Cricetulus griseus: one gene and its partners. The protein of the gene in region 2 interacts with the protein of the main gene of each other region in a pairwise test. Links are inferred from orthologs where the notes say so. Each region holds a gene or a part of one and is shown on either strand. Other genes may lie near its edges. The genes, in order: Eif3h, Abi3, Nup58 and Kiaa0408.

What was found.
Region 1: the proteins of Abi3 (region 2) and Eif3h interact in binary tests that used the Homo sapiens proteins (3 or more experiments, as listed by UniProt). The two-hybrid records come from large-scale screens. The link is inferred for Cricetulus griseus from reciprocal best matches to the Homo sapiens genes ABI3 and EIF3H.
Region 3: the proteins of Abi3 (region 2) and Nup58 interact in binary tests that used the Homo sapiens proteins (3 or more experiments, as listed by UniProt). The two-hybrid records come from large-scale screens. The link is inferred for Cricetulus griseus from reciprocal best matches to the Homo sapiens genes ABI3 and NUP58.
Region 4: the proteins of Abi3 (region 2) and Kiaa0408 interact in binary tests that used the Homo sapiens proteins (3 or more experiments, as listed by UniProt). The two-hybrid records come from large-scale screens. The link is inferred for Cricetulus griseus from reciprocal best matches to the Homo sapiens genes ABI3 and KIAA0408.

What each region holds. Positions count from the first base shown.
Region 1 is NC_048603.1:3,231,108-3,239,219, forward strand, and holds the start of Eif3h (eukaryotic translation initiation factor 3 subunit H), read left to right. Parts: upstream 1-3,242; 5' UTR 3,243-3,296; coding exon 3,297-3,428; intron 3,429-8,112.
Region 2 is NC_048600.1:108,988,960-108,996,602, reverse strand, and holds part of Abi3 (ABI gene family member 3), read left to right. Parts: intron 1-4,279; coding exon 4,280-4,447; intron 4,448-5,744; coding exon 5,745-5,921; intron 5,922-7,252; coding exon 7,253-7,338; intron 7,339-7,541; coding exon 7,542-7,637; intron 7,638-7,643. UniProt on the Homo sapiens protein: May inhibit tumor metastasis. In vitro, reduces cell motility.
Region 3 is NW_023276807.1:215,227,634-215,235,276, forward strand, and holds part of Nup58 (nucleoporin p58/p45), read right to left. Parts: intron 6,147-7,643; coding exon 5,997-6,146; intron 5,177-5,996; coding exon 5,039-5,176; intron 3,074-5,038; coding exon 2,963-3,073; intron 1-2,962. UniProt on the Homo sapiens protein: Component of the nuclear pore complex, a complex required for the trafficking across the nuclear membrane.
Region 4 is NC_048595.1:247,811,040-247,818,225, reverse strand, and holds part of Kiaa0408 (uncharacterized protein KIAA0408 homolog), read right to left. Parts: intron 4,623-7,186; coding exon 4,278-4,622; intron 4,180-4,277; coding exon 4,100-4,179; intron 3,006-4,099; coding exon 1,700-3,005; intron 137-1,699; coding exon 1-136.

The DNA of each region.
Region 1 (8,112 bases), on a different chromosome or scaffold from region 2:
ACAGAACCCCAGCTGGCCACCTTATGTTATCAAATGTAGTGTCCAGTACTATGACTGAGTTAGATCCAATTGAGTTGTCGGTCAAAGGGGTCCCATAAAAATCCTTAAACAACCCAGGCTGTTAACAAGACAATAGGCTGCTCTCCACAAAGTGACAGAAAGCTCCCACTGCCAAGGACAACACCCACACAACTCATTGAACATGGAGAAGTCCGAGCTGGCACCTACATAGAATCTTCACCCCTCCATTCTTGTGTCTTTGGTACAAGAAGGTACTCTGCAGGCTACCAAAAGATAAATGTGACCACCAACCCAGCCACAATACCTTTGATCCTCAGTGCTGTCCTGCCTGCAAACCTGCTGGGCAATGGTGGCACAAACCTTGTGGGAGTAGTCAACCAATGTCTGATTTGACTCAAGTCCTAGTCCAAGAGATGGGACTCACACCCAACACGGCTTGGGTGACCAGGAACCAGAGATTAGATAGACCAAAGAGACCAAAGAGACTAGGATAAAACCAAGCATTGTTGGTCTTAAAAGAGAAAGTAGAGATAAAATAAATCCTAATGATATTCTTCTATATTCATAGATGAGTGCCTTAGTCAGTCATCATGAGAGAAGCTGCCTCCTGCAGATGAGAACAAATACAGAGACCCACAGTCCACACACACACACACACACACACACACACACACACACACACACACAGAGAGAGAGAGAGAGAGAGAGAGAGAGAGAGAGAGAGAGAGAGAGAGAGACAGAGACAGAGACCTTGGAACACACAACTTCAAAAGGGATGTCTCTATCAAATCCCTCCCCTCAGAATTCAGCCCCCCCCCCCCCGGAAGAGGAGGCAGAGAAAGGGTGAGAGTCACAGGGGATGGAGGACGTCAGAAGAAATCTCTAAATCAGCTGAGCAAAACTCCTATGTGCTGAGTATTGGATCACCTGCTATTGGCTTCCTCCGCCGCCGATGCAGTAAGCCAAATCAAACCAAATTTAGTAAACAGAGCAAAACTCAGGAAGGAGGAGAGAGAGAGAGAGAGAGAGAGAGAGAGAGAGAGAGAGAGAGAGAGAGAGAGACAGACACACAGAGAGATAGAAAGACAGAGTGTGTTCCAGGGAGGAGCTGGGATGGCAGGCTTTCTCAGGGGCGGGGTCTACAGTGGGTGGAGCGGGTCTGGGTGGAGTTTCCCAACAACAGGAATTCACAGAGACTGAAGCAGTTATCAGAGGACCTGAACAAGTCTGCACCAAGTCTATCGAGTATATATTATAGTGAAAGACCCCCAGACCCCTAAGGGCCTCAGGATCCCGAGGAGCCCCCAAGACTCAGAAACCAGACCAAAGGCTGCAAAAGCAAGAGGGTTTATTGAACAAGTGCGCATTCGGGTGTCAGCAATATCGGGGAAGCTGCACACGCCAGCCAGGGTTACAGGCTTCTTATATAGGAAAAAACCGCAGATCAGCATACAGGCAAGGGGCACAAAGTGATTGATTACAAAGTATGAACTCATGTTAGAGTGGTCACCAGGTGTGACCTGCTTTTTTATAAAGGAAAAACCATAGAACGTACCCTGAAAAGTCCTTGATTGTCTGTTGGCCAGGTGTGACCCAAAAAGGATTGTTTGTCTGCCCTCGGGTTGGGGCAAGGCCTGTGGAAAACTTTTTCTCTCTGTGAACTAAAATCTTTCAAAACCTTTTCTCTCAGCAAACTAAAATCTTTCAATAGCTTCCAGTTTAGTTTTTTTTTTTTTTCTTTTCTTTTCTTTCTCCAAGACAGAGTTTCTGTGTAACAGCCCTAGATGTCGTGTAACCCACTCTGGCCTGGAACTCACAGAAATCCTCCTGCCTCTGCCTCCCGAGTGCTGGGATTAAAGGTGTGCACCACCATCACCCGGCCGTTTCTTCCTACTTTTTTTTTTTTTTGGAGCCTATCCTGGAACTAGCTCTTGTAGGCCAGGCTGGTCTCGAACTCACAGAGATCCTCCTGCCTCTGCCTCCCCAGTGCTGGGACTAAAGGTGTGCGCCCCGCCGCTGCCGCCGCCACCACCACCACCACCACCACCACCACCTGGCCTACCCTGCAGGCTCGACTCCCATTTAATTCTTTGTGAGGGTTTTATTTTTGCATTTTACATCCCTGCTACTGATTGGTAGTGTCACTCCTCTATGACCCACCTTGTGGAGATTTTCTCTGTGGTCCAGGAGATGGTCTACTTTGTTCATATTTCTTATAGACTTGAAAAATCGGTCGTTGAATCATTAGTAACACTTGGGGTGTAACAGTTTCTGTTGTCTGTATGATATATAACAGACCCTAAGTACTAGCAACAACGAAATCAAAACATCAGGGTACAGTATGGTTTGCCACGGTGTGAGCATTGCATGACTCCCGAATAGTGAGTGAAGTCCATGCTCATTGCAAACATAAGGCGAAAAGTCACTTGGGAGCAGGGATTGCTTAACATGGCTTGCTGCACAACCGATGCAGTGGTTTGCAGACCTGATACCATGTAGGTCCCGCGTGTCACAGGCCAGCACGGTTTGCAGGGCATGTATTCTGAATGCTCACCATTGCATCAACGTGAACGCTCCAACGGCCCATAAAAGAACCCCTTTGGGGGCTGGAGAGATGGCTCAGAGGTTAAGAGCACTGGCTGCCCTTCCAGAGGTCTTGAGTTCAATTCCCAGCGACCACATGTTGGCTCCCAACCATCTGCAACGAGATCTGGTGCCCTCTAATGTTGTATACATAATAAATAAAATCTTTTTTTTTTTTTTTAAAGAACTCCTTTGGTATTTTACTCAAGCGAAGCATCGGTCCTGGAGACCGCAGCAAGGTTAAGCACGGTCTAAGTACTTTCCGTGCGTTCCCTGGGGTTAGAGACTGCACAATCTGAAACGTCACAAGGCCAGCGAGCGGCCCCAGGAGCTTGTCACTAGTTAGCAAGCGCTGTGGCTTGCCTCACGCCTCCTTGAAAGCTGGTGGGAGGAGTGGGAATTAAACTAGCAGCGGGAAGCACTTTTGCACCGGCCCCGCCGCCCGAGTGCGCGCTCTGTCGCTGCAGCGGCCGCGCGTTTAGCGGAGCGAGTGCAAGCGCACGCTGGCCCGGGAAGGATCCGGGCAGGCACGCAACGCGCATGCGCGGGGCTATCCCCGCCCTCAGGAAGCACGGGGAGGGGGCGTGGCCGCACCCTGGCCGCCCTTCCAGACCCAGACCCCCCCCCGTCCAGACGCCGTGGTTCCGCTTCCGGCGCCGCACGCTTCCCTCTCTTCCTGTCTGGCCGGGACCATGGCGTCGCGCAAGGAAGGCACCGGCCCCAGCGCCGCCTCGGCGGGCTCCGCGGGCTCCGCGGTGGGGAAGGGCAAAGGCAAAGGCGGCTCGGGGGACTCGGCCGTGAAGCAGGTGCAGATCGACGGCCTGGTGAGTGCGGGCGGCCCGGCTTCCGGCCGCTGTCCCCGCGAGGAGCAGCACCCTGGCCGGCGTCTGCACTGTGGCTCCAAAGGTTTCCACCGAGGGGGCCGGGGGCGAGCAGAGCCGGGGTGGGCGACACGTTGCATGCCCTGGAGAGCCGGTCCAAGCCGGTGACAGCTGCTGCGGCGAGCAGGAGGGTTCAGGGCCCTGCGAGGGGGAGAGAGAGAGAGAGAGACACCTCCGGAGGAGGCTTTATTTTAAACATTTATTTATTATGTATTATACAACATTCTGCTTCCCTCTATATCTGCACACCATCAGAGGGCACCAGATGTCGTTACAGATGGCTGGGAGCGACCGTGTGGGTGCTGGGAATCGAACTCAGGACCTCTGGAAGGGCAGCCGGTGCTCTGCACACCATTAAGGGCACCAGATGTCATTACAGATGGTTGTGAGCCGCCGTGTGGGTGCTGGGGATCGAACCCAGGACCTCTGGAAGGGCAGCCGGTGCTCTGCACACCATCAGAGGGCACCAGATGTCATTACAGATGGTTGGGAGCCGCCGTGTGGGTGCTGGGAATCGAACTCAGGACCTCTGGAAGGGCAGCCAGTGCTCTGCACACCATCAGAGGGCACCAGATGTCATTACAGATGGTTGGGAGCCGCCGTGTGGGTGCTGGGAATCGAACTCAGGACCTCTGGGAGGGCAGCCGGTGCTCTGCACACCATCAGAGGGCACCAGATGTCATTACAGATGGTTGTGAGCCGCCGTGTGGGTGCTGGGAATCGAACCCAGGACCTCTGGAAGGGCAGCCAGTGCTCTGCACACCATTAAGGGCACCAGATGTCATTACAGATGGTTGTGAGCCGCCGTGTGGGTGCTGGGGATCGAACCCAGGACCTCTGGAAGGGCAGCCGGTGCTCTGCACACCATCAGAGGGCACCAGATGTCATTACAGATGGTTGTGAGCCGCCGTGTGGGTGCTGGGAATCGAACTCAGGACCTCTGGAAGGGCAGCCAATGCTCCTAACACTCTGAGCCGTCTCTCCAGCCCTGTCACCCTCGCTTTGAGTAAGTAGTGCATCACTTCACCTGGGGCAGACCCTTAGGCAGTGCTCAGTCTGCACAGTAACAAGCCGCAGGGAATAAGCTTTTTAAGCTTTTAATAGGATATTTCTGGGTAAGGTTTATGCACCGGGGCATCTGGAAAGCTCGGGATAAGAAAACGCATGGGACGGAAGACGTGGGCATCTCAAATGATGTGGGTTTCCAAGCTTGAGGAGCATCCTCCAGCAGGTTGTGCTGGCACATGGCTTTACTTGGAGCACTGGTGAGGCGCAGGCCGCCTGGGTGAAAACCCTTTATGCTGGTGACTGGGTGTGAGCTTGTGAAACTGTCAGTCGTGGTTATGGTCGACTGTGATGTATCTGTGGACGCCAGAGTTTGCAGGATGCTCGGGAGAGCTCTGGAAAGGTTTATCTAATATTTAAATGTCCCCTGTATAAGGCAATGCTGTCTCCTTTGCTTCGCTTACAGTTTCAGCTTTCAGTGGCTTTTTTGAAGCAGGTGCCTTCAGGAATGAATACTACATTTTTAAAGATTGTCGGTTAGTTGGTGGGTGGTGGACTTGAATTGTAGAAGTACCAGCTAAACACTCCCGGAACGTGTTTTAAGTCTTAAGAACTAATGTTTTAGTGCACTTGCATATGCTTTGAAACCACTCTTTGGATTCCTTGGTTTCCAGAGTTGTAGAAGGCAACAGGTAGATATTATAAATCGGTAACTACAAATACATATTTTAGGACTTGGGCTGGGCTTGGTGGTACATACCTGTAATGCCAGCACCTGGGAGGGTGCAGCAGGATGCTAGGGAGTTGTTTGTCAGTCTGGGCTACATAGTGAGACTGTCAAAGAAGAGAAAGTAAAATACTTTCAGGGCAGTCTTGAAACTGCAGAGCTGTCATGGGACAGTGCCTTAAGAAATTTGAAGCAGCCGGGCGTTGGTGGTGCACGCCTTTAGTCCCAGCACTCGGGAGGCAGAGGCAGGCGGATCTCTGAGTTTGAGACCAGCCTGATCTCCAGATCGAGTGCCAGGATAGGCTCCAATGCTACACAGAGAAACCCTGTCTCGATTCCCCTCCCACCCCCCCCAAAAGAAATTTAAAGCAATAGGATTGCTGCAGGTGGAAACAGACAGGGTCATTTGAGTTCAGCAAGCAGGCAGTGGGCCTAGGAAAGTCAAGACACTTGTTTGGGATTTCTGTACTCACATACCACTGTTTTCTTTACTTGGAAACTGACTAATGCTCTTCTTAAGAGATTGGATTAAAAGTTTATAATTTACTATGAAGATAGACTTTTTAGTGGCAAAGGGCCTCTTTTAGTTATCAGGTTTCCTGGCAAGTCATACTGAGAATTAGAAGCTTATGAGTGAACCCAAGTGAGTCATCAAAAGGGACACTCAAGTCCTTAAGGGCCTTTACTTGCTGAGTCATCATGGTGGCCCTTAGTTCAAATCTTAATATCCCCTTTAAAGATATCTTGATTTTTTTGTTTGTTTGTTTTTCTCATTCATTCAAAAAATTCCAGATCGTAGCTCCCTTCATTAGATGTTTTTGGTGAATTTGGGGCCCATCAAGGTGTAGTTTTTGTGTTCAGGTTTGTTTCCTGTTCTTCCCACACTTTGTCTAGAAGGTATGTTTCAGTTACCTGTGACCCAGTTAGCCATTCCCTGGCTAGGTCCTGCAGCTCGTCTTCCTTTTGTCCATGACATTCCTCTTGACCGCCTTGTCATGTTCAGGGTTGCTGTGTGTGACTTAATAGAACTGTGGTTTTAATCTCTGGTTTAATTTGAATCTGTGTATTTCAGATATGTTCTGTGATTTAGTAAAATCGTGGATTACCTGTCTTTTTGTTCTTTTGAGAGAGGGTCTCTGTGTAGTTCTGACTATCATGGGACTAACTACATAGACCGGGCTGGCCTCGAACTCAGAATGATCCTCTTGCCTCTACCTAGTTAGTGACATCGAGCTCTGCCAGATGCTATGCATAAGGCATGGATGAGCTACTCAGATATTAATTTCATATTGATTATGGTTGCTTCTGGCATGTTGCTAGTGACTACAACCAGTTAGTATTATCCTTAGAAATATAAGCTCTTGGTCATATTGAAGGTTAGTTCATAAGAATGACTTGATGTATTTCAAATATATTTCTATAATAAATGTATTCTCATGGAATTTAGATGCCTTGAGTAGTTTACCTCTCTAGTTGTTTTTTGGTTATTTGTTTGTTTTGTTGTTTTGAGACAGGGTTTTTCTGTGTAGCTTTGGAGCCTGTTCTGAAACTCTTTGTAGACCAGAATAGCCTTGAACTCACAGAGATCTGCATGCCTCTGCCTCCCGAGTGCTGGGACTAAAGGCGTGCGCCACCATGCCCGGCTGCCACCCTTCATTCTGTCTTCCATTTGTACAGCTGCTTCCTGTGTTCTGTTTTATGCGGCAGATGCTGTTATAAATGCTTTGTGTGTAGGTGGTGTGGGCAGACTAGAGATCACCTTTGGAGTCATCATTCTCTACCTTAATGTTTCTCTTTATTTCTAAAAGTCTCATATATGCAAGAATGAATTTGATCCTATCTGCCTTCCTTTTGCCTCTTTTAACCCTCCCAAGTACTTCCAGCGTGTCCTCCTTCCAATTTCCAACTTAATGTTTCCTTCTTTCCTGCCTGCCTGCCTGCCTGCCTGCCTGCCTGCCTGCCTGCCTGCTGCCTGCCTTCCTTCCTTCTTCCTTCCTTCCTTCCTTCCTTCCTTCCTTCCTTCCTTCCTTCCTTCCTTGTGCCTCTTTTTCTTCTTCCTTTTCCTCTTTTTGGCTGAGATGCTGTTGGTGGTAATCTATACAAATTCCAGTTAGTCCTGCCTATATGGGTTTGGGGTCATCTGCCAGAGCTTTGGAATCCTACTGGGCCTGACTCTCCCTTCCCCAGGGACTACTCACTGCCACTAGCCCCACACTATGGGATGGGCACATCTATCCCATCCATGCCAGACTTTTGGCTGGCTTCATCTTGTGCAGATAGCCACAGCTTCTGTGCGCTGTGCTTCTGACAGCCATGACAGCTTCTGTGCGCTGTGCTTCTGACAGCCATGGCATGCCCAGAAGACGTGTCCTGCAGTAGTACTTTGAGCCTTACATCCTTTCCCCTTCCTTCTCCGTGATGTTCCAGAGACCCAGTGGTAGTGGGGTCAGTACAGCTGTCCGTGTTAGACCTGGACATTGAGCATTGACTCATCGTGCATCTCTGTTGACCACCGTCTACTGCACAAGAGCCTCAGTTACCAAGGTTGAGAGCAGCTCAGGTCTGTCGGTATAAGCATACTTTTAATTAATTTTTTACTTAAATTTTTTTTTTTGTTGTTGTTTTTGACAGGGTCTTACTAAAAAGCCCGTGGCTGGCCTGGAATTCACTGTGTAGATCAGGCTGCCCTCCAACACGCAGCAGTCCACCTGTCTCTGTCTCCTAAGTGTTGGGACTGAAGGTGTATAGCACCATTCTTGGCCAAGCATGAATTGGAGAAGGCATGTTGACCATGCCCATTCAGCGAAGTGGCAAAAGCAAGTTCTGCTTTATGCTTTTGACCAGGATTACAGTATGAGGCATTCAATTTGTGCCTGTGGAGCAGGTCTTTAATAC
Region 2 (7,643 bases):
CACATTTTCCAAGCGCCCCCGCACTTGTTCTTTCTTACATGGCCTCAGAAGTAGAGGATGTGTCTACTTCACTCTCTATATAATCCTACCTTGCCCCAGCTCATCTCTCATCTCCTACAAAGACCCACAAGACCCTTTCCTCTCTCAGGTGCTGGTACCATTTGCAGGCTGGCTCTAGGGGAGTCGTCAGGAAACTTACCACACTCTAGGGAGTTTGTTCCTAGATGTTTGAGGGAGAACAGAGGAGGGTCTGACCAGGTCAGGATGAGAGAAGAGGTCTGATGGGGCTTACAGCCTGGCTGCTGAGAAACGACGAGGAAGGAGGAACTCTACAGTAGTCTCAATTTTTTTATTTTTGGGGGGTTCTTGAGACAGGGCCTCACTGTATGGCACAGGCTGTCCTTCAGTTCTCTGTGGCTCAGGCTGGTCCTTCTATCTCAGTCTTCCCTCAGGGCTGGGATTACAGGTTCCCACTGCCTCTCCTGGCTGTTGTTTGTGTCGTGTCATTTTGTTTTGGTTTCTTAAGGAACTGGGAATGGAGCCCAGGCTGTCTGGGAAGTGTGTTTCTGCTGAGTTAAGCTCCACTCCACCCTGGGGTAGTCTTGCTCATCTTGTGCATATTCCATAGCATTGGCTCCTGGGAATGGAAGAGAGGTGGAGGGCCTCGCAACTACCCATCCATCCCCTTGTCAGTCCTCACAGTCACCTTGTGAGACAACTCCTGTTTTATAGATATGAAAACGGGAAAGGAGGTGACACGTCCAGGGTCACCTCGCTCTGGAACAGCAGAGCCAGGCACGGCTTCCCTGACTTCTCACCTGAGGTCCTTCCTCTCCATCCTTCTGTCTGTCTGACACAGTGTATGACTTGGGACAGTTTATCTGCACTCTGTCCTTGGTTCCCTCTGCTCCATTAAGAATGACAGGTTAAGTCTGCAGCCCCTTACCCCTGGCCAAAATGTGTGACAACACCAGGTTCCTCATCCTATATTAAGGGGACTTGAGAGGAAAAGGGAGCAACTGTCTGTGGGAAATGGCAGACCAAAGAGGAGCAATGACAGCAAAGTTCTCTCTGTACCTTCCCACAGCCTCTTTTTTGTCCCTACACCAGTGGTGAGAGGTGAGCACCATTTACACTTCACAGCGAAGAAGCTGATATTCGGAAAGGGTTAAACTGGGATTCAAACTCAGAATTCTAGTTGGTTGTAGTGGCCATATCTGTGATCCCAGCACTTGTGGGGATATAGGAGGGGGACCGCCAAAAGTTTAAAACCTGCCTTATAGTCTCTATGTGAGTTCAAGCCAGTCAGGATTACACAGCAAGACACTAAAACAACACAGAGACCAAAACAACAAATCAAAACCCCAAGCAAAAAAGCAGGCAGAATTCTGACTTAGAGCCCAATCACTGACCCTTCAGACCACAGTGCTGCCTTGCCTGTCATTCTGGTGGGTGTGATGAGTGATCAGCCTGGAGACAGATGATCTGGAATGTGGCTTTTGAACCAGCTCTCTCCCACTACTAGCTCTTGGGCATGCTTCCCTGGCAGGGATGGAAGCAGCTCTTTCCCGCACCTGAAAGCGCTTCTGGTGGGTCCAATCCCATGTATGCAATTGGTGTGCACATGGGATCTGAAGCCAAAAGCTGAGTCCCCAGGTCTACCATCTACTGACTTAGGAATCTATGGTGAGATTCCCATTGGTCTTTCTCTCCTTCCTAAGATCTTCCTTCCTTCTTTCTCTCTTTCTTCCTTTCTTCCTATCCTGACATTGTCACTCTGCAGCTCAGGCTGGTCTTGAATTCATGACCTGTCTGCTTCAGTTCCAGAAGGCTGGGATTCCAGGCCTGAACCATCATTTGGGAGATGGGAGGAGTTCCTCTTAGAAGCTATACCTTCTCCAAGGTGATTATAAGTATTGACTGGAACAGTGTGCTGAAGCATTTGCCCAGGGCCCATCATCCTGTAAGGAGGGCAGGATAAATGTAGCTATAACTGCTGCTGTTACCATGTCAGTAGTGCCGTGGTGATGGAACTCCCTCTGTTGAGGTGACAGCTTTTGCAAACATACTCAGGGTATAAGAAACCCTGACCCAGGTTGGAAATCCCTGGGTTCCTTTGTGCAGAGTGCTGGCTCCTAGACCATGCAATCAATAACCATCCCTGCCTGTCATAAGAGGATAGTTTCGGGTGGTGTCTTTCATACGGTCTCCATCCCATCCTTCGCCCACTAACCAGGTGTCAGAAGCCCATGGGGAACAGCAGCAGGCAGATGGGTCAAGTGTATGGTTCTCAGCCAAGGTTGACTGAGTATACAAACAGGGTGATTTGCATGATGAACAAGCAGCTTCATTGAAGGTTCCCTGACCCTTGTTTCTCCAGCCTGACTGTGGGCCAAGATCAAAGTTAGAGGTTAGAAACAGCCAGGCTGGAGGTACCCAGAGCTAAGCCCAAGCAGATATTTCTTGTTTGGGTTGCTATGTCCATGTGCTGGGCTGGGGAGGGAACTGTCCAGAAGCAGAGAGAGACTTGGAATTAAATAAATAATAAACAAATTAATTCCATTAAATAAAGACCCGGAACAAAGCCTGTAGTCCTTTCTACTTTCTTTGCCTGTTCAAGGCTTTGGGTGGCATATGCTGATGAATGTAAATTTTATTGCATATGCAGATAACATGTAAATAGGCACACACATGAGCATCGCTTTCCTGCTGTTAGAACAGAAAAGTAGGAGGTCCATGACATGGGTTTTCCAGAAGGTTCTAGTTCAGGCTACAAGAGAGGAATCCAGATCCTACTGAGGAGACAGCCCTGATAGTTCCAGCCACAGGTCCTATGGAGCACACGAAGTTCCAAGCCAGGAAACCATCAGTGAACTTGCCTCTTCATATTTGCCTCATCTCTGCCTGCCCCCCCCACCCCCACCCCCACCCCTGAAAGGGACAGGCTTCAGTGCAGCAAGCTTGTGATTGATGGGGAAGGAGGAAGCTGTTTGGGGAAGCAAGACACCCAAGAAGGTTTACCCAGCCCCCAAGTCTGGTCTGGAACCAAAAAAAGTTCTTTTGTCTTTAGACATTCTCTGGGCATCCCTTTTCCCCTGACTGGCAGTGTGGCACTGGCCAGTGTCTGGTGTGCGGTAGGAAGCTGCCCAGCCGGTGTTGGGTTCCCCTTCGACCTGTCCATCAGCCAACAAAAGGATATTTATTTATTTATTTATTTATTTAAGATCTTCTGTGTGCTGGGGACTATGTCAGCTTAGGATGCAGGACAGAATGGCCCAGCTCTCTGTTTTCATGGTACTTATGTTTGACTGCTGGGAGGTGAGGTGAAGGAAAACAAAGAACAGAGAAAGTATGATAATAACAGTGAGCTGGGTAAAAGCTTAGGAAGCGGAGAAGCTGGAATCATCTAGAAAAAATAACAACGCTAAGAACAAGCACCAGGTGTCTGAGGTAGATCCAACCCAGCAGTTGTTAGGGAACAGAACTCCAGTGGTCAGTGTGGCTGGAGAGAAGCAAGGGGTGTGTGTGGAAGGGGAAGGTGGTATTTAAAGCCAACTGGGGTGGCACATATCTGTAATCCTAGCATTTAGGAGCCAGAGGCAGGAGAATCAGGAGTTCAAGGCCAGCCTTGGTTACACAGAGAGACTGAGGCCTATTCTACATGAAACCCTGTCAGGAGGGGGAAAAGAGGCGTATTAGAAAGTTGTCAGAGGGAACGAGAGAAGGAAGTCACTTGATGCTGGGACACAGTGATCTCATGTAAGTTCCCACACACCTGCAGGCAGATTGGGGCTAAAGAAGTTCAAGGTCAGCCGGGGGTTTTCTCCCAACCTCAGTCAGAGGGATCTTTGGTTCGCAGGGTTAGGGTAAGGGTGTGATATTGGTTGGTTGGTTTTTAAATTTAGTTGTCTCCTCAGGCCAGCATCACTTCCCCTCTTGCTTTCTACTCCTCACCATCCAGCCTGCAGAGACACACTTGCTGAGGAAGGCAGTAGGGTCTGGTCCTCTCAACTTAGTCCTTGCCTCCACTATTGGAGGAGAGGACTCCTCCCCAGTCTCCACAGCCAGTTCTCTCAGGCTGCAGACTTGTTTTCTTAATGTCCCCTCTAACCCTCATACTACAACATCATCCTTCCGGAAGCTACCTCCAGCATCTAAGGATGGCAGCATTCTCCAAGTTCAGCTCCTGCCTCCTGTAGATTCTCTTCTGGTCCCACTGGACCTTGCCTAGGAAGCAGTGGAATGTGCTGGCCTCAGGCCAAGGCTGTGTGTATTTCAGGCCACAGACAAGCGGAAGGCATTAGAAGAGACCATGGCTTTCACCACCCAGGCCCTGGCCAGTGTGGCCTACCAAGTGGGTAACCTGGCTGGACATACTCTTCGAATGCTGGACCTACAGGGTGCTGCCCTGCGGCAGGTAGAAGCCAAGATCAGCACACTGAGCCAGGTAAGGGTGTGGGAAGGGACCCCTTCCAGCCCCAGCTCTTCAGTCCTACTCAAATATTGGCTACAACAAGAGTTTCTTGTATTTCTCCATGTCCGGGTTATCAATTTGACTACAGAATGCTGGTACCTTCTGAACTTTGGATACCTCCATCATGGCTCCCCAAGTCTTAGTGTGACTCTCACTACCCCATTAGAAGCAAAGTTCTCTGAAAGCAGCCTCTCTCTCTCTCTCTCTCTCTCTCTCTCTCTCTCTCTCTCTCTCTCTCTCCTCTTCCCCTTCTCTTGAGTGTTGCTATGGATATCTAAAAGCTTTGTCTGCCTGTCACAGAACCTGCACAATTGAAATACAGGCAATGATTAATAAGTGTCCTCCACTCAGGCTAGGCAAGCCCATCTTCAGCCCCCGAGTCGTCCCTGCTACCAACTTACAGAGTCCCTACCATTGGCTCATAAATACCCTCAGGCTTCCTTCCTGGGTTCTTGACCCCACAAGGCACATGTTACAATTAGCAAAGTTTAAATTTTGGTCTGACCCTAAGGCCCCAATGGGCCAGGGTACGGAGTGTGTCTTCCTCTTTCCCCTGGAGATCCAAGGTCCCAGCCCTCAAGGACTGAGGGAAACAAGAGGAAGCTAATTCACATATTGGTGACCCTAAAGGGGAAAGCTGACTTGGTTACAATTCTCTGTCACCTCCACACTATGCCCCTCTGCTCCAAAGGCTGCCCTGTCCTTCAATCTCTTCCCAGCATCCCCAGGGATGTTGTTTTTCCCTTTTCTTCTGTTTCCTGCACAGCTAATAATAACCCTCATTCTCTTCTACCAGGAAGTTGCTCCAAAGTGGCTCCATCCTTTCCTGCTACTCTTTTCCCAATTGCTGTATGGCCAAGGGGACAAAACTCACTTTCTCTGGATTTCCCTGCTTTCCATGGCTATTCTTTCCTCCACCCTTCTTTATTTTGAGGTAGCGTTTCACTATGTAGTCCTGGGTGGCCTAGAACTCATCATCATCTAGACCAATTTGGCCTCGAACTCACAGAGATCTACCTGCCTCTGCCTCCTGAACACTCTCTCTCTCTCTCTCTCTCTCTCTCTCTCTCTCTCTCTCTCTCTCTCTGTGTGTGTGTGTGTCTTTCGTTTTTCAAGACAGGGTCTCTCTGTAACTTTGGAGCCTGTCCTGGAACTCACTCTGCAGAGCAGGTTGGCCTGTGCGCCACCACTGCCTGGTTTCTCCCTCTCTTAAAGGGAGTGGTGTTGGACAGGCTGTGCCTCACTGTCACCTCCCAACCCTCTCATGCAGATGGTGAACATGCACATGGAAAAGGTGGCCAGAAGGGAGATTGGCACCTTAGCTACTGTCATGCGGCTGCCCCCTAGCCAGAAGGTCATCCCTCCTGAGAGTCTACCTCCCCTCACGCCGTACTACAGAAAACCCCTCAACTTCAGCTGCTTGGATGACATTGGCCATGGAATCAAGGTAACGGGAGCTTTGCTTGTCCCCTTACTGCCATGTCGTTGCTGCCACCCTCTCCTGCCATGTCGCTCCCTCCTATCTTACTTCTTTGTGAGCTCTTCCTCTCTTAGGCTTCCATGGCTAGGAGCCATGGCCTAAGCTCCTCACTGTCCCAAGGTCCCCAGCTGCCCTCTGCCCTGTACTCACTCTGCTTCTAAAGATCACATGCTGTCCCTGCCCCCCACCCATGGGTACTGGGTGTGTGTGTGTGTGTGTGTGTGTGTGTGAAGGGGAAGGGGGAAGGGAGGGTGTCAGGACACGCATGAGAACCACTTCTTAGCCACATGAGAACAGCAACTTCCTCTGTCTGGGCGTTTGAGGTCACGGCTCTAAGAAGTCACTCCAGAATGCTGGTGGTAGAGACAGGAGGCAGCAACAGAAAGCAGACTTGCTGGAGAGGATATAATCTCATTTTGCCACCACTGCTCCATATCATATTAGATTAGATTTCCTGTATCTTAACCCCTCGATTTTATGCCAGTCCCCGGAAGGGAGAACAAGACTTCTCTTCAGTTCCCAGGTCCCCATGAGTTCTTCCTGTTGTCCAACGTTCTTAGATTTTGTTTTTCCTTGGACAGTGCTGTGGATGGAACCCAGGTCTCCTGTAAGCTCAGCACAAGCTCTGCCTCTGAACTACATGCTCAGCCTCCAGCCTATCCTTTATGCCTCAAGTTCCCTTTCTTGTCTCTAGTGAGGCAGGGTGACAGAGAACCTGGGCCCCAGATGCTCATCCTGGGGAAGTCCCGAAGTTAGAGGTGTATCTTGCATTGGGGGTTGCTTTCTATCATGGAATCTCCTAGGTGCCTTGGGTTCTGCCATCCCTCTGCCTTGAATTTGGGGAGGACAGTTGCATAGGTTTATGGAAATGAGTGAGACAGTTCTGTGTCTCCCCTCTCCATTCCTGTCTTCCTCTCTTGTTGGAGTAGACATCAAATTAGAGTTAAGGACCACCAAGTCACCCAGGTCCTTTCCTATTTAAGATAGTGTGGGCGTGCAAAGGCCCACTCAGTCACTGTGGCTATGCAGAGGAAGAGGTTCTCAGACGAGCTGCCGGCTTCTTTCGGGGAACCTTTGTGGGACCTGCTGCAGACTTAAGACCCTGTGGCTCAGGCAAAGACACCCGCGTATGGGGTGGGGGTAGGGCGGGAGGAGGGCTGGGAAGTGGAAGTAGGAACTTGCTGAGTCTGGCTAGTCCTCCCAGTTCTCCGTGTTCGTCCCTTCCCCAATTCCTCTTAGGGGTGAGGGTGAGGATTGCTCCCCTTATGTCAGATGTCAACTCTATCCCCTCCCTCCAGGACTTGAGCACGCAGCTGTCGCGGACTGGGACGCTGTCTCGCAAGAGCATCAAGGCGCCTGCTACACCTGCCTCCTCCGCGCTGGGGTGAGGCCTCAAGGCCATTCCTACCAGCCCTGCCCAGCTCCTTGGGGTTCTCAACTGCTTCCCTACCCCTTGCCAGCAGCACCTGGTGCCTTGGTATCCCTGAGCCTGGGGCCGATTCTCCCTCCACAAGCCATCCTTCCTAAACCCCAGTTCTGCTCAGCAGAGGCCCCTCCCTCCTTATGCCACCCTTACTCCACTCCCAGGAGACCACCCCGGATCCCCGAGCCCGTGCAGCTCCCAGCCGTGCCCGACGGCAAACTCTCCGCTGCCTCCTCTGCCTCTTCCTTGGCCTCGGCGGGGTGAGC
Region 3 (7,643 bases), on a different chromosome or scaffold from region 2:
ATGATTCATGTAAAATAGGTCATTCAACAACACAGTAACACATACCAAGTTCTAAATGAACAGAAATTAAACAAAATACAAAGTATTTCGACATCATGCAATATGATTTTTCCCTATCATGAACTGCAGGAAGAACACAGCATAACGATGGAGATCTGACACCAAGCAAACACATTACAGAGTTCAGTTGCATCTACTTCCCTCAAGAAGAAACAACTTGGTCTTTTTGTATGAACAGTTTATGTCACTGTCTAACTCTAGATACCACCATCACCAGTACTGATGCCCTAACTTCTCTAACCTAACAATCCATAAAACATTCTGTCAATCATTTAAGACAACTGACTGTCTCCATGTACATTTTCATCTGCCACAGGCATAAAATGTATCTCACCCTCAACAAAGGACATCATACTTAAAATGCCAATCTACTATCATTCAAACTTTTCTTACAGCAGTAGTGAGGTAAAACATTTTCTTAAAATGTGCATTATGGCACTCGGGAGGCAGAGGCAGACGGATCTCTGTGAGTTCGAGACCAGCCTGGTCTACAAGAGCTAGTTCCAGGACAGCCTCCAGGTTTCCAGAGAAACCCTGTCTCAGAAAACCAAAAAAAAAAAAAAAAAATGTGCATTATGTAAAAAAATGTTTTCTACATTTTTAAACTGCTCACTCCTGTGATCGGTCCATTTTCCCTGAGGTACTGTTCATACTGTTAAGTTACTCAACATGAAACATATTACATTTCATTCATCTATTTCTAAAATTAAATCTAAGATTTGATGAGAAAGTAATAAAACCAAGGGTTTAATTTTTTTTAAGCCAAATAGCTCATTTTCTTAAAACTGATATACTATGGTGGTTTGAATGAGATGCCCTGATAATCTAGGGAATTTGAATACTTGGACCCCAGTTTATGGTGCTGTTTGGGTAGGATTAGGATGTGTAGTCTTGCTGAAGAAGTGTGTCACCAGGGGCTGACTCAGTTTTCAATAGCCACATTCCAATCCCAGTTTGTTCTCTACACTTCCTGCTTGCTGTTCCTGATACGGGCTCGCAAGTACTGCTCCAGAGGCCTGCCACCTACCATCTCTGCTATTATCGTGCACTATTACCCCTCTGGAACTGTAAGCCAAATAAACTCTTCTATATGCTGCCTTGGTCAGTGTTTTAACACAGCAATACAATAGTGATTAAGCCATGTAGTATTTCTTTGATACTTTACTTTTGAGCTACAATTCTCTATATACAATTTGTAAAATGGGCTACATTACCATGCACCCTATCAATCCACCCTCTGCCTCAGTAATAATATTCTTACAAACACTTCCTATGCTACTCTTGCATTCTTTGGCTTGCTGATTTCCACACAGCCATCTAAATGTTTTTCATCCTTTTACCCTCCATTTCCCCCTTTTGTTTTTCCATACACACATATCACTAAACTTGCTTTATTTGTTCACTACCCATCTTATCTAATGGTACCTTTCTTCCCCTCAAACATTTCCCACTCCTGCTTTCATGCCACACACATTTGATTATCTTTAGTTCCTGCTCCCCTATTTCTTTAGATTTCAGTCCTCTTTCTCACATCATAACCACCCCCAGCTTCCCCCCTCCACACACACCACAAGAGAGGAGGAGGAGGAGAGAAACAAGTAATGCCTGGGTTATCTGCTTATCATAATCTCCAGGACCATCTATTTTTCTTCAAGTATCATCATTTCATCTTATGCAACTGAACCCAATTGTACTGTGAATATGCCATCTTTTCCTTTCATCCATTCATCCCACTGGTGAACTAGCTAAGCTGGTTCTATCTCTTGGCTATAATGAACAGTAATAAATGTTCTTAAATCTTAAAACAAATCTCATCAAAACCCTCCAGTTTAATTACAAAACAATGTGGTATAAAAAGCCCTTCATAACTCTGGAAGGAAGCTGTGTCTATCTGACCTCTTCAGAAGGGCAAAGCCTTAATCCATATTGCCTCTTCTTTATTATCTATTACTCTCCTTCCATCTGGCTAAATCTCATAGATATAGGGCCAGAGCTAACTGCTATAGCTACTTGATAAAAAGTGACATTCTGGGGCTGGAGATATGGATCAGTGGTGTCTTAGTTAGGCTTCTATTGTTATGATAAAACACCCCTATCGATGGGGGGGAATAGTTACTTTATATAACCCAGGACCACCAGCTCAGTGGCGGTACTGCTGGGCCCTCCCACTCCCATATCAGTCACCAATCAAGAAAATGACCACAGACAGCTCTTACGCCGGATTCCAGTTAGGTTACTAGCACCTGTGGCAGTGGTTCACAGCCGCTGTTCAAATCTAGCTCCAGAGAATCTAAATATGATCCTTTTTCTGAACTCTGAGCACTTTCATCCTCCAACACACACACACACACACACACACACTAGAGAACGTGGAAAAACATCTGTGATTTAACAGAAGAATCCTGACAATCACCAATTAAGGGAAACAGAAGGTGGTACATGGTACTTATTCTCACATAATCTTTGCTCTACTCTAGCTCAGACACAGTATAAGAGTAGGGCTGTGGAGGAACAGGAAAGAAGAGAAATAAAGTTGTGCTTTTCTCTTATTCCTCTCTTTATAATTAAAAAATATCAACTAATTACTGACATAAACAAGAATGTCCAATGTTAGTCAAGTAAGAGTAGATTACAAACATACAGATCATGATTCTGATTTAAAAATAAGCATTAATATAAACATTAATAAAGCTATGTAAGACATATACACACACAAATTTAAGGTATTTAAAAAAGCCAATATATTATGCTCAAATTTGTGAATATTAATGATAGACAATACAAACAAATTTAAAGGTCCTAATAAATACATAGCTAGTGATCTTTCAAGCAGGAATTTTGAGTAACCTATAAGCTTCTTCCTAATGCCATTACCACATGAAATTGAGATAACTTCACTTACTCTTTTTATCTGAGGATGTACTAAAATCTATACCACCAAGGCCTTCATTGCATGCAGTTGAAGCAGGTGCTGTTGTTCCCAAAGACAAGCTTAAAGCATTTTGTCCGAGACCTGTAAATAAGCCAAATACCATTTATCAACTTTCCTAATTTTAAAAGAATTCCCCTTTACTGGCAACGCACTCAATACTTTGAAGACCACAGATTTTCCTACTACCTGTTTTAGGACATTAACATGAAACAAATCTGTAATAAATAATTTGGGTAAATATTGATAATATCTCATTGGATTCAATGATATATTTAGTTTGGAAGTTGGAATCTCTCACTATAAAAGGGCTCAACTATATCTAATTTGATATAGGTAAACATTGAATTTTTATTTATTTTTAAATTTTTTTCTACAAAATTTATTTCACATGATATATTTTCAGGTGAATACATCTTGCTGTTTAATATTTTGGAACTGCACAATTTTAAAATAATCTAGTGTGAATTCATAAGATGTGAGTGTGATATACCTTAAATGTTAAATACTAAATACACATCCCCAAAAGGATATTAAAATAAAAAAAAGTTTACTTAAAAAGTAAATAGCCTTTATTTTCTTATTTAAATCTCACCTCACTGGCAAAAAAAGGCAGTAATCATAGTAATTATACTTAGAAGGCAACCAGATTTTGTGTTGACAAACCTATTTTCCTACAAACCAATGCATTCCTAAACTAGTATGCCTGGTAGTTAGACAAGATGTTACCTGTTTTAAAAGCAGAGAAAATGTGATGTGATAACTGAAAACTAGATTTAAATTGTGGCAATGACTAAAAGAATAGTTAAATAAAAATTATGCTAAGTAACCCCAACCTACAATCTGAATGTACCAATATATAAAACTCTGGCTCCAAGCATTTCATGGAAGTGATACTCTACCTGTTTCTTTTTCAAGTCAATGGCACCTTTAGGTTAGCACAGGCATAAAGTAAGCATTGAGTATTATGTCAAGAGTCTAAGAAGTGGTGCAGATTTGCTGAGAATGCTCTGCTTCCTGATCCTGTGCAGATGTGAACAAGCCAGGAAGATGCAAGCTCTTACCACCACAGGCAGCACTGCCCACCTGCCATGCCTTAACCTCTGCTATATGCCCTGCATAGAAGAAGCTCAAGCTGCCTTCATAATGTATTTGGTTACAGCAATAAGAAAAGCAAACCCAAAGCACTGGGAAGTTATAAAATGATCTCCTGATTCTCCTTTGTACTGTATTTTCATTTTGGTATTACAGGAATCTGTGAGACATGTTTACACGCTTATCCTACAAGTAAGCATGATGCAGTCATTTGTATCTAGTCACTGGAAGGTACTCCGTGAACACTACAGATTTCTACAGGTCCCCGTGACCCAACTCTTTCTTCCTTTACAATCACCTGAATATTTTCCATTCATTTAATACCTCAATAGAAGACAAAAAAATTACTAGTTTCTTTGGTAGAAGGCATCAGCCATGCTTTTTCACCTATTTCAGCCAAAGGAAAAAAGCTACTATAAATCAGCCTCAGAATACTGTGGTTTTTTACAATTTAAATACACATAAACTCTCCTAGTTGGCCAACCGTTAACCAGAAACTCCTGAAATTACACTCTTATGTGAAATAATTACACAGTGTCTTCAAATAATTCTCAGAACACCCTCTCCTATCTTCCAGAATGAAAACCATACTGGGAAGCCAGATTTACCTGGCTATAATACGTATTTGGATGTAAAGCTCCCTTGTAACTCCAACTAAGCAAATTTTATCACCAAGCTACATCCTCTGCCAAGACAACTTAACTGACATTTATTTAAAAGACAAATTTTGGTGGAAGCTTTCTGAATCTTTCCTTAAATAGGCCCATTGAGGAAAAATGACAACATATTCTGAAGTATGGCTAAAATGTCCACTTACAAAGGAAAATTATTATTTTGGTTTTCATACTGAAAGAAAAATATTGTCTAAAAACGTGTCCTTTTTAACAAGTTAAATTAAAGTAAATTTAAATGCAAGCATTTACTATTCTGGAAAAAAAAAATATTATCAATTACCCGATGCTGCTGTGTTTGCACTCTGGAAAAGTGAACCTCCCAAGCCAGCTAAGGCCCCCCCTAAAGAAAGCCCGGTTGATGCTGTTGTTGTTGTGGCTGGTGTTGTTCCCAAATTATTTAAAGTAAATCCTGTGGATGCTGAGAGTGAAAGAAAGAGAGAGATGAATAAGCCTTCATATAGCACTTAACACTACAGGAAAATAGGACATTCTCAAAAATAGAATCCCATTGACACATCTAAACCTTTGGGGAAACCACTTGCTCAAGAAAACTTTGAAAATACTCAGAATAAAGCAGAACGGCAACTTCAAGACAGTAACTGGGGTTCCTCCCCTTTGTCCCTTCATTCAACAAAATAGCTTTGGGCACTATTCCAATGGCACCCAATAACTGATTCTAGACAATATAGTTTGTATCCCAGACAATATTTCTGCCTTTAAAAGCAAATGAATCCTGAGCCAGGTGAATTTACAAATGTCTTTATACATCCTGCCATAAAGTCTCTTGACAACAAATAAGATAAAAAACATCTGTGTATTTCACCACTCTGATCCTCTTTATTCTGAACAGAGGCCATATTTCAAGATGGCCAAACTGCTTTAATGGCCAATGCTATCTTTTTCCCAAATAAAGTCTTGTTACATAGCCAAGCCTTGCCTTGAACTCAAGATCTTCCTGAGGCATCCTCCCAAATCATAGGTGTGAACTACTAAGCCAATAGTTCAAAAAGACAAAATTGCCAACTAATTCAAATAAAAAAATTCCCAAAGTATAGTTGAGTTTTAGAGTTTTTTATTCTTGTACAACAAATCCTTATAATAACAATAGCAAATGCTTTACCCACTGCACCATCTCCCAGCCTGGTATTCTATTTAATATAAATGGCCACTGATGTTCTCTAACTGGATAAAATTTCAATGTAAGCATCACATTCAATTTTCTTCCCATTCTGTCTCACCTGCTGGCGTGGATGTCAGAGCAGACGACAGAGTGAGACCACTAGCTGAGGTAGACGTGCCAGGCAGGGCAAATGGTGTAGCAGAGGCTGCAGGTTTACTGAATCCTAAACTGAAGCCTGTTGTAGATGCAGATGTAGTAGCTGGTGTTCCTGTTTAAAAAAAAAAAAAAATCATTTTATCTTAATCATACAGATATTATGCTGGTTTTAATTAGTATCCTTATGTCTATAATCCTTTATCATAAATGGGATAAAAGGATTTGTAGAAGTGAAAGAAAATACTTAAGTTGGGACTAAATCATGGTAAAAATATAAAAAAGATGATCCTTTGGGTTAAGAAAAAGAAATGCAAGATGGGTGTGGTGGCACTCGCCTTTGATCCCAGCCCTCCGGAGGCATAGGTAGGCAGATCTCTGTGAGTTCTAGACCAGCCTGGTCTATATAGTGATTTCCAGGACAGCCTGAGAGACATAGTGAGACTCTATATAAAAACAAAAACAAAAACAAACAAACAAAAAAAAAACCCAAAGAAAAAGAATACAAACACAATGGCAATTGCAATTCCATCCCCAGACTTACCTGTAATAGCACTTATTCCCCAAAACTCTCTTTGCTCTCAACAGAAAAGTAGTCCCTCCTGTCACAAACTACCCAAGTATCATTTGGTACTCCTGAAAATCCTCTTCTTCCCGGACCCCCGTTTCTGTCAGCACCAAGCTCTCTTCTCACTCCTCCTTTCCTGCCTGTAGATCTCTTCCTCCGTTCAGGCCAGTTCTGTTGCTGCTTCCTCCACTGGTCTCTCCATTTTTATCATTTCAACCACAGGTATATGAATCTAACCCTAACTACCACCAGCTTCTTTGTTTCAAAAAATATTGCTGGATTACTGGCACCCTCAAAAACTTCAGTTTAGGCCACCTCTAAAGCAACCTCTTAATCTGTCAGTCTCTGCAATCTCTCATCTACTCTCAGTATTAGCTCAGTTACTTTAGCAGCATCTTGGTATTGGCATAAACTTTTCTTTAGGAGACATGAACTAGTGTTTATTCACCCCAGATAAAAAAAAGTCAAAAGGAATCACTGGTCAACAATGAGTTTAGTTGTGGAGACCAAAAGAAGTCTGAGTGAGGGCTTGGGCAACTACACCACTGAAAAAAGTTTCTCTCTCCACAGCAATTACAAACTGCTTGTATACTTTCAGGGAAGGGTAGCACTTGAGGACCTGAGGCCTGCCTTTGTGAGCAGCCCAGTGCATGCGAGTCTTCCCTCCCCAAGAGGGAATGTTAGTGGGTCCAATCCTGTGAGCCCCAGGTAGGTGACCACAGTTAACCTCATTTTACAACAGCAAGAGCTGAGAGGACAGTACTTCAATAATTCTGTCCACCTTAAGGATCCTATGAACGCTTAAGTATGTTAAACAGTCTAAAGGCCTGGCAAAATACTGCTCATTCTTATATGGTCTCAACCAGTTTTTTAAATATCAATTCTTCCTCCTATTTCCACTCTGAATCATAAGCTCCAAGAACAGTATTTTATATTCCCTTAGATCCTTTTATGATTACAACTTTATATTTTCAACTGCTTCATGTAAAATATTTCCCAACTCCAGATAAGCCTACTCTCCTGTCTTCCACACTGTCATTCCTG
Region 4 (7,186 bases), on a different chromosome or scaffold from region 2:
AGCTGTGGGCAGTCCTCCGTAATGCTGGGGGTGCGGATGGCGATCTGGATGCCCATCTGGATGGGAGCCGGCGATTGGCTGGTCTAGCAGGTCGGGAAAATCCTTTTCCATTCGAGGCTTTCACTGCTATGGATTCCTACAACACAAATAAAGGCCACAATCTCCTTACACACACCACCTTTATTCAAGGGATACATCAAAAGGGTCACCACCACCACCACTGCCATCATAACAACTACAAAAGTGTTCATGAGATTTTTTAACTCATGGTTCCAACTGTCCTTCTTCCAATGATTTTTTAGATTTATTTTTATTACATATAGATGTTTTGCCTGTATTCATGTATGTGCACTATGTGTGTCCTGGTGCCCACAGAGGTCAGAAGAAGTCATCAGATTCCCTGAAACTGGAGTTAACAGAAGGTTACAAGATGCCATGTGGGGACTGGGAAGGGAACTCAGACCCTCTGGAAGAGCAACAAGTGCTCCTAACTGCTCATGCATCTCTCCACCTCTTGCAAGCCTGCAACTGGCCTTCCTAATAAAGCTGATGCTCTTGCATCTGAGACAGGCAGTGAGGACAGACTCAGGTGCTACTATTTCCCTCAGACCCAAGCAATAGCCTCATATTTTATTGTCTCTTTGGATACTTAAATTTAATTCACAGGGGTTTTAAAATACCTCCCAAATCGCTAAACAATGAAAAAGAGGAAACATTCAGCATCTATTCTTAGTTCATGAGAAATTTGTTGGTTATATTTGTGTTTGTGTGTCTCTGGTCATAGGACCTACAGATTTATGGTTTCAACTAAAATGCAGAGAAGTATAAAAGCCAGGGAATTATTTGAAATGCTGGCTAATATAATGTCACATTATTTAAATTACATATTAAAAAGGGGCATTTTGTATAAGTCTTCATAGTAAATACCAATTTGCTTGACCTCTCCCTTTATAGTTAATGAAGATGTGCTCTTTTAAGTGGACAAAAAAGAGCAAATGATTATTTAAATACCCATTTTTGTTAATTTCTATGTAAAAATATATATGGCTAGCTGTATTTTGTAGACTTTTAGTGGCACAAACAAAAGAGTTTGTTTTTTGTTTGTTTTAAATGTTTAAACACTTGAACATTTAAAACAAGAAATTGTTTTGCTTTCATACACATTTGTGTGACTAACCCTATGAGACACAAGTCATACAATGGGAAAGTCTGAATCAATCATAATTGAGAAAGTGGGAGTTATTAAAAAATGTTGTATGTACTGAAATAATAAAGCTTTAGAGTAAAACTCTGTAAGTCAACAGATATGTATTCTGATTTATTTTAAAGGAAGGAAACAAATAACTTTCCCCAGGTTCTTGAAAGCATATTATATCAATATTACTTATTTATTTATTATTTACTTATTTTTGAGGCAGGGTCTCACAATACAGTCCCAGATGACCTGGAGCTCAACTTTGAAAACCATTCCGGTCTCAAACTCACAGAGCTCCACCTGCTTCTGCCTCCTGAGTGTTGCAATTAAAGGCACGAGTGACCACATGCGTCCTTGATATGACTTATTTTTAAATAATGCACTAGTTGAAGTATTTAAAACTGTACCCTCAATTCATATTAAGTTATGCCTCACAGAGGGCCAAGAAGGTAAGAAGATACCAAAATATGTCTACACCCTAATTATATGATCTAGCAACTGAACTGATTTCAGAGCTATTGCTAAAGATGGAAGTAGTCCCTGATGTCCCAGCTGTGTTATCCCTGCACTAAGTAAATGTTCCATTTGATACACTTCTAAACATCGGCCCCACATGGTACCACCACTTACATCAGAACCGCATTTGGTCCAGTTATCCCTGAAGCATTTTGAGTTTTGCTGGACAGACCCTGTCTCTGTCTCATAGGTTTTCAGCAGCTTTTCCACCACACGATAATTTGATCTGGGATCAGCTGACTTTGGCCGGCTAGAAAAATTGCTTGGTCTCCAATCATGCTCATGGAACATGAGCTGATAGGTGCTGGGACTCACGAATGCCTGCATTTGTTTGACCAGGCCAGTTGCAGATACTTGTGTGGAATTACTGAACACTTTTTCCATGGGCACAGGTATGTGGTCACTAGCTTTCAAGCCATTAGTCCCATCGTCACTTTCTGATACGTCGTCTTTATCAGCAGGAGAGCTGTCACAGAGATTGAGATTATCAGGTGGTTTTGAATAGCTTTGACTTTGCTGTACTGCTTGACAACTTCTGTCTGTCCTAAATACAGTCCTGTTAAATTCATCAATCTTTGCTGCCAGCTTTTCATTCCTTGGAGTCCTTTCTAAATTGCAGTTGTAACTTCTACGTGGGTCTGTCTGTGTCACTGAGTGAAGAAAGTCACTTTTCACATGAAGATCAAGATGAGATTTAGTAGGGTTTTCTGGAATCACCTTTTCAACTTTTGCTTTATTGGGGGTGAAACCAATTTTTTGAGACAGTGTAGAAGGGCTCTCCTTTGTGCCTATAAAAGTGTCACATGACCACATATTAAGTCCAGTGTCTTCGTTACCTGGAGGCTTGCTATCTATTCTGACTTCTGGTATCAAAGAGGAAGCCATGGTACTATCTTTCAATCTTCTGTCTTCTTGTGGAAACAATGGAGACTGCCTCAAAAGAAAATGAGGACTGCAGTTCCTTTTGTCTTGACTCTCATTGGCCACCCACCTGTGGTATAAACTTTCCTTCAGTCTTTCTTGGGCTTGTTCAGAGTATGAGCTGGGGAAATTTCGAGAGGTACTTCTTGGAGGAGGAATTGGTGGAATTTCACTTCTTTGTAAGTCAATTACACCAGTTCCACAGTTTTTCATTGAATTGTTTTGGAATCTGTTGGCCCAGCTCTGATTCTTTTTCTGTTTTTCTTTCTCCAAATTGGTTGGAAGAATGCCCTGGCTATTACTGATAAAGTGGTCCCCATGAGGTGCACTGATTGCATTTGGCATTTCCCGGAGAACAGAATCTGACTTCATCCTAAATAATTATAAAACAAGGTATGTCAATGACAATTTTTTTCAAAATGAGCTTTTAAGGGAAGCCATAGTTTAAAAAATACATTTCAGCTATAAGTCACAATTTGCTGAAACATTGTGTGTGTATACTTTTATATGTGTGTGTACATATATATATATATATATATATATATAAATAATGTGATACATAAGTATGTGTATATATGTGTGTATATGTTCATATTCTAAATCCACTTATTACAAATCCTCTTTATTGCTTTATTGTAGGATGAAGTCTTCAGGGTTACATTCATGGATTTAACCCAAATTTTAGTCAGAGTCATTCGCTAACATGAAAGCTCATGCTAGATTCTAACTAGACAATGTAGTCTCTTGAGTTTCTGCTCTTGCCCCTCCCATTTCTACAGATTTTCTCCTGCCATATCCTTTCCCTCTCTTTCCTATGCAATTCCTATTCACTATTCATAATTCCTATTCGGTCTTCCTTTTTCTCCTTGCATTGTAAATAACCCTGGGAACAGTGTTAGTCTGAATGAAGTGTCATGAGCACTAGGAAACCCCAAGTGGAAAGTCTCATTTGAATTTGAAAGGAAACTAAGATTATATTTCATGAATCAAAGAAAGGGAATACAAACAAACAGGCTCTAACAAGGTGTGCCCATTGAGGGAATGAAGAGTGCCCTGGATGGATTTAAAGCAGAGTGAGGGACACAGAAATACTAAGGCATGCCAAATCTTAGATCAATGTTAAACCATATATTGAGGCTCTGAAGCGCTTTCTAGAGGGCATTGGGATGACGACAAAATCTTCACTTTTTAATGGTTTACGGGTTATTTTTTTGAGAATTTCATAAAATAAATTTTGTTATATTCTTTGATCTTCCCTTAACAGATACATTTATTACAGAGTCCACCTTAATTAAACACGCAAAGAATATAATAGTCCTAATATTTAAATTGTGAAACATATTAGAAGATTGCTTTTAAGAATCCATGAAATAAGATATACATGATGAGGCAGTTTAGATTCACTGACTGTGAAAAGAATTCTTTTGAATTTTCTGGTTTACAATGGTCACACGTGTGCCAGCCTACCTTCTGTGGTTAGGGCGCTTTCGGATTTCCTCTTGAAAGGTGCATAATTCTTCACTCACTTTTGCAAGTTCTTCAAGAGCCTTCACACCCATAACACATAAAAAGAGAGGCGTTGTTAGCACTCGGAAGTGCAAGCACTTCTTTAGAAACACTTCCTGGCTGATCTGGTCTTACTTACTGTGTTAAGGGCGACAGAACAATCTTTACTCTCCTCCTTAGAAGTCCTCATGCCAGCCTCCTCATGTGCCTCCTCTTCTGTGGCCAAAGGATTCAGAAACCCGACTTTGTTTCCTGTGGGCGTGTTTTGGTTTTTATAAGCTTGGTTTCCTTCTCTGAGGAAGTCCCTTTCTAGCTTGTTGTCCTTGTCCAGATCATCTCGGTGATTCATCACTCTAAATTCACATTGTCCTGAATTGGGGTGATTTGGAGGAAATTCCATTTTATCTTGATCACGATCAAGAGCAATGACCTTAGAATGTTCATTCATGTTCATTTTCCTCCTCAGCTTTACTTCCTGGCAAAGCTGTAGGAAATAAAAATTAAAAATTTACTTTTCCTAATTTTCTTGATCAATATATTTTCTCTTTCTCTTTTATGATCAATAAATTTTCATAAGCAGAGTTTTATTACATAGTCCTGATATGGAACCCATTGTGAAGACCGGAATGGCCTCATGCTCCCCAGTATCTACTTGCCTCTGACTTTGAATACTAGTAATAAAGGCATGTGCTACTATGCCTAACTTTGTTCAATATTCTTGGATACTAAGCAAATCATTTCAAGTCCTTTTTGCAATATTACTACATACTACCATGGGTATTAATGCTTGTGCATATAGATAGTGCCTCTAAAACAGGAATGAGATAGGACAGTTTTGGTGAACCGTAAAGACTAGTTTTAGTAGGGCAATGCATGGATACCACATTCTGTTTTTCTGATGAGAAATCAACTCATTAAAAAAATAAATTAAATCTGGATCTATACAGAATGCAGAAGCACAATCACAAAATTACACTGACCCAAATCAATCACTCTCTATTCTCTATAACCACTTTCTAATATAACAAAAGTTTAACATTAATAGTCATATATTTTAAACATACGATCTTATGTAACAACATAAGATCTAAACTGTCTAAATAGCTGACAATATCATATAGTAAATCAGCATATTCTTTCCTCTAAGTAATCCCTTATTAATCATTTCCTTGGTTGGTCAACTACTTTATCAAGGGGTAGATATTATAGTGATATTTTTAATGCCACAATGATACACATTCTTTTAACAAGTTGTTTTTACTCATATTAAAATGATTGCATCAATGTTCTACCTGATAAGCCAGAACTTTAAAAATTGGACTATCTATCGCCTCAGTAAAAGACAATCCCAAATTATTTCTTAAGGAGGCTGCCTTAGTGAAATCAGCAGATACTCCATCAGCTTACTCCCAAAGTGAAGAAGGAAGCAGTGTTTTCCTGAGATTTGCTTACATCTTGCAAAAGCCTATCATATTTCAAAACAGACCATCAAATAACTTTAAAGCAAATACCTTTATATTTCACTAAGGTAATAAATGTAATAACATACTCAATATTTATACATAATTCCAGTTGAGAGAGTATACATAACTAATACATTAAGGATACATGGTGCTTTTAGTTCCCCAATATTGATAAAGATTTTAATCACTCATTTCCAAACTACAGCAATAAATTGATTGTTTTGATGCCTACAAAATTAATTGTATTGAATTGTTCTTCAACATGAATGATATAAGGAACAACCCCCAAAGTCCCCTGTTAAATTTAAGGATATTGTTGGCAGTGTTTTCCCATTTTTAAGAATTCCTGAATAGACTTGGCATGGTGGCACTCACCTTTAATCCCAGCACTCAGGAGGCAGAGGCAGGAGAATCTCTGTGAGTTCGAGTCCAGCCAGGTCTACAAAGCAAGTTTCAGGACCATCAAGGCTGTTACACAGAGAAACCGTGTCTCAAAACAGAACAAAACAAAAAATTTCCTGAATTAAAAAGAAAATTGCTATATTTTTAGACCCAGGGGAAATTGTGCTATTCACAACTCATGGCTTTTCATTTTGCATGTTAACTATATTGGGTTCTAGAAAGACCCACTCCTGTGTATTATATACAATTCCTTTTCATGTATTCATCTAATCCTTCAGTTTTTGGTTTGGTATAATTTAACTTATATGTAATTTTATGCCATTATAGCTTCCCAAAACTCAACTTAGTTGAGAAATTAAAACAGCAGCAGCAAGAATTCTGCCCCCCACCCCCTGAAACTAGTACTAGTACACTGTAACAAATGGAAAACTTTTTCTTTGGTATAGGAAATTTTTCCTGTTCAATAGCTGAATGACCAAATGACACAAGCAGAAAAGACTGCAAGGGAACAAAAAAATTTCAAGATTTCTATCAGCTAAGTTATACATGATCATAGTTCATAGGGAATTATTCCAGGTTTCAAATTGTCTGAGTACATATGCCTTGGATTTTCAATAGCAATTGTAATGAATGCGGAGAGGGACTCAGCAGAGATACAGGACCATCTTCATACTGGATGCTTTCACTCAATTGTATTATTACTTAAAATCACCAATGTTACAGATGCACACTCTGGAGTCTGCGTCTTTCTAGCACATGGCTCAATATCCTGAAAGAATTTAATACTAGAGCCTAGTAACTTTAAACACACGTACTGTACTTGTTAAACAACATATTTGCTAAAGAAAAAATACTTCACTATGTTTGAACCATACAATTTCCAAGCACCCCCCTTGTGGTTTTCTCAGTATTTTTATCTTAGCTTTGTACACTGTAGTCCATATGTATATAACCAGAAGAAGACACACAGTGCTGGCATTGAGATATTACCTATGGGCAGTATATGTAGCACATTTTTATAAATATACTCTCAACTATGCTGTTTTAATCACAGGTAGGAAAGCCCTTGGATAAGGGAAGTGAAGGACGCTAGTACAATATGTTTTTCAAATGTAGTAGTAAAAGTAGATTTATTTTGGAATCATTAATCACAGATGTCTCACCTTTATTATTCCCTAGAGGA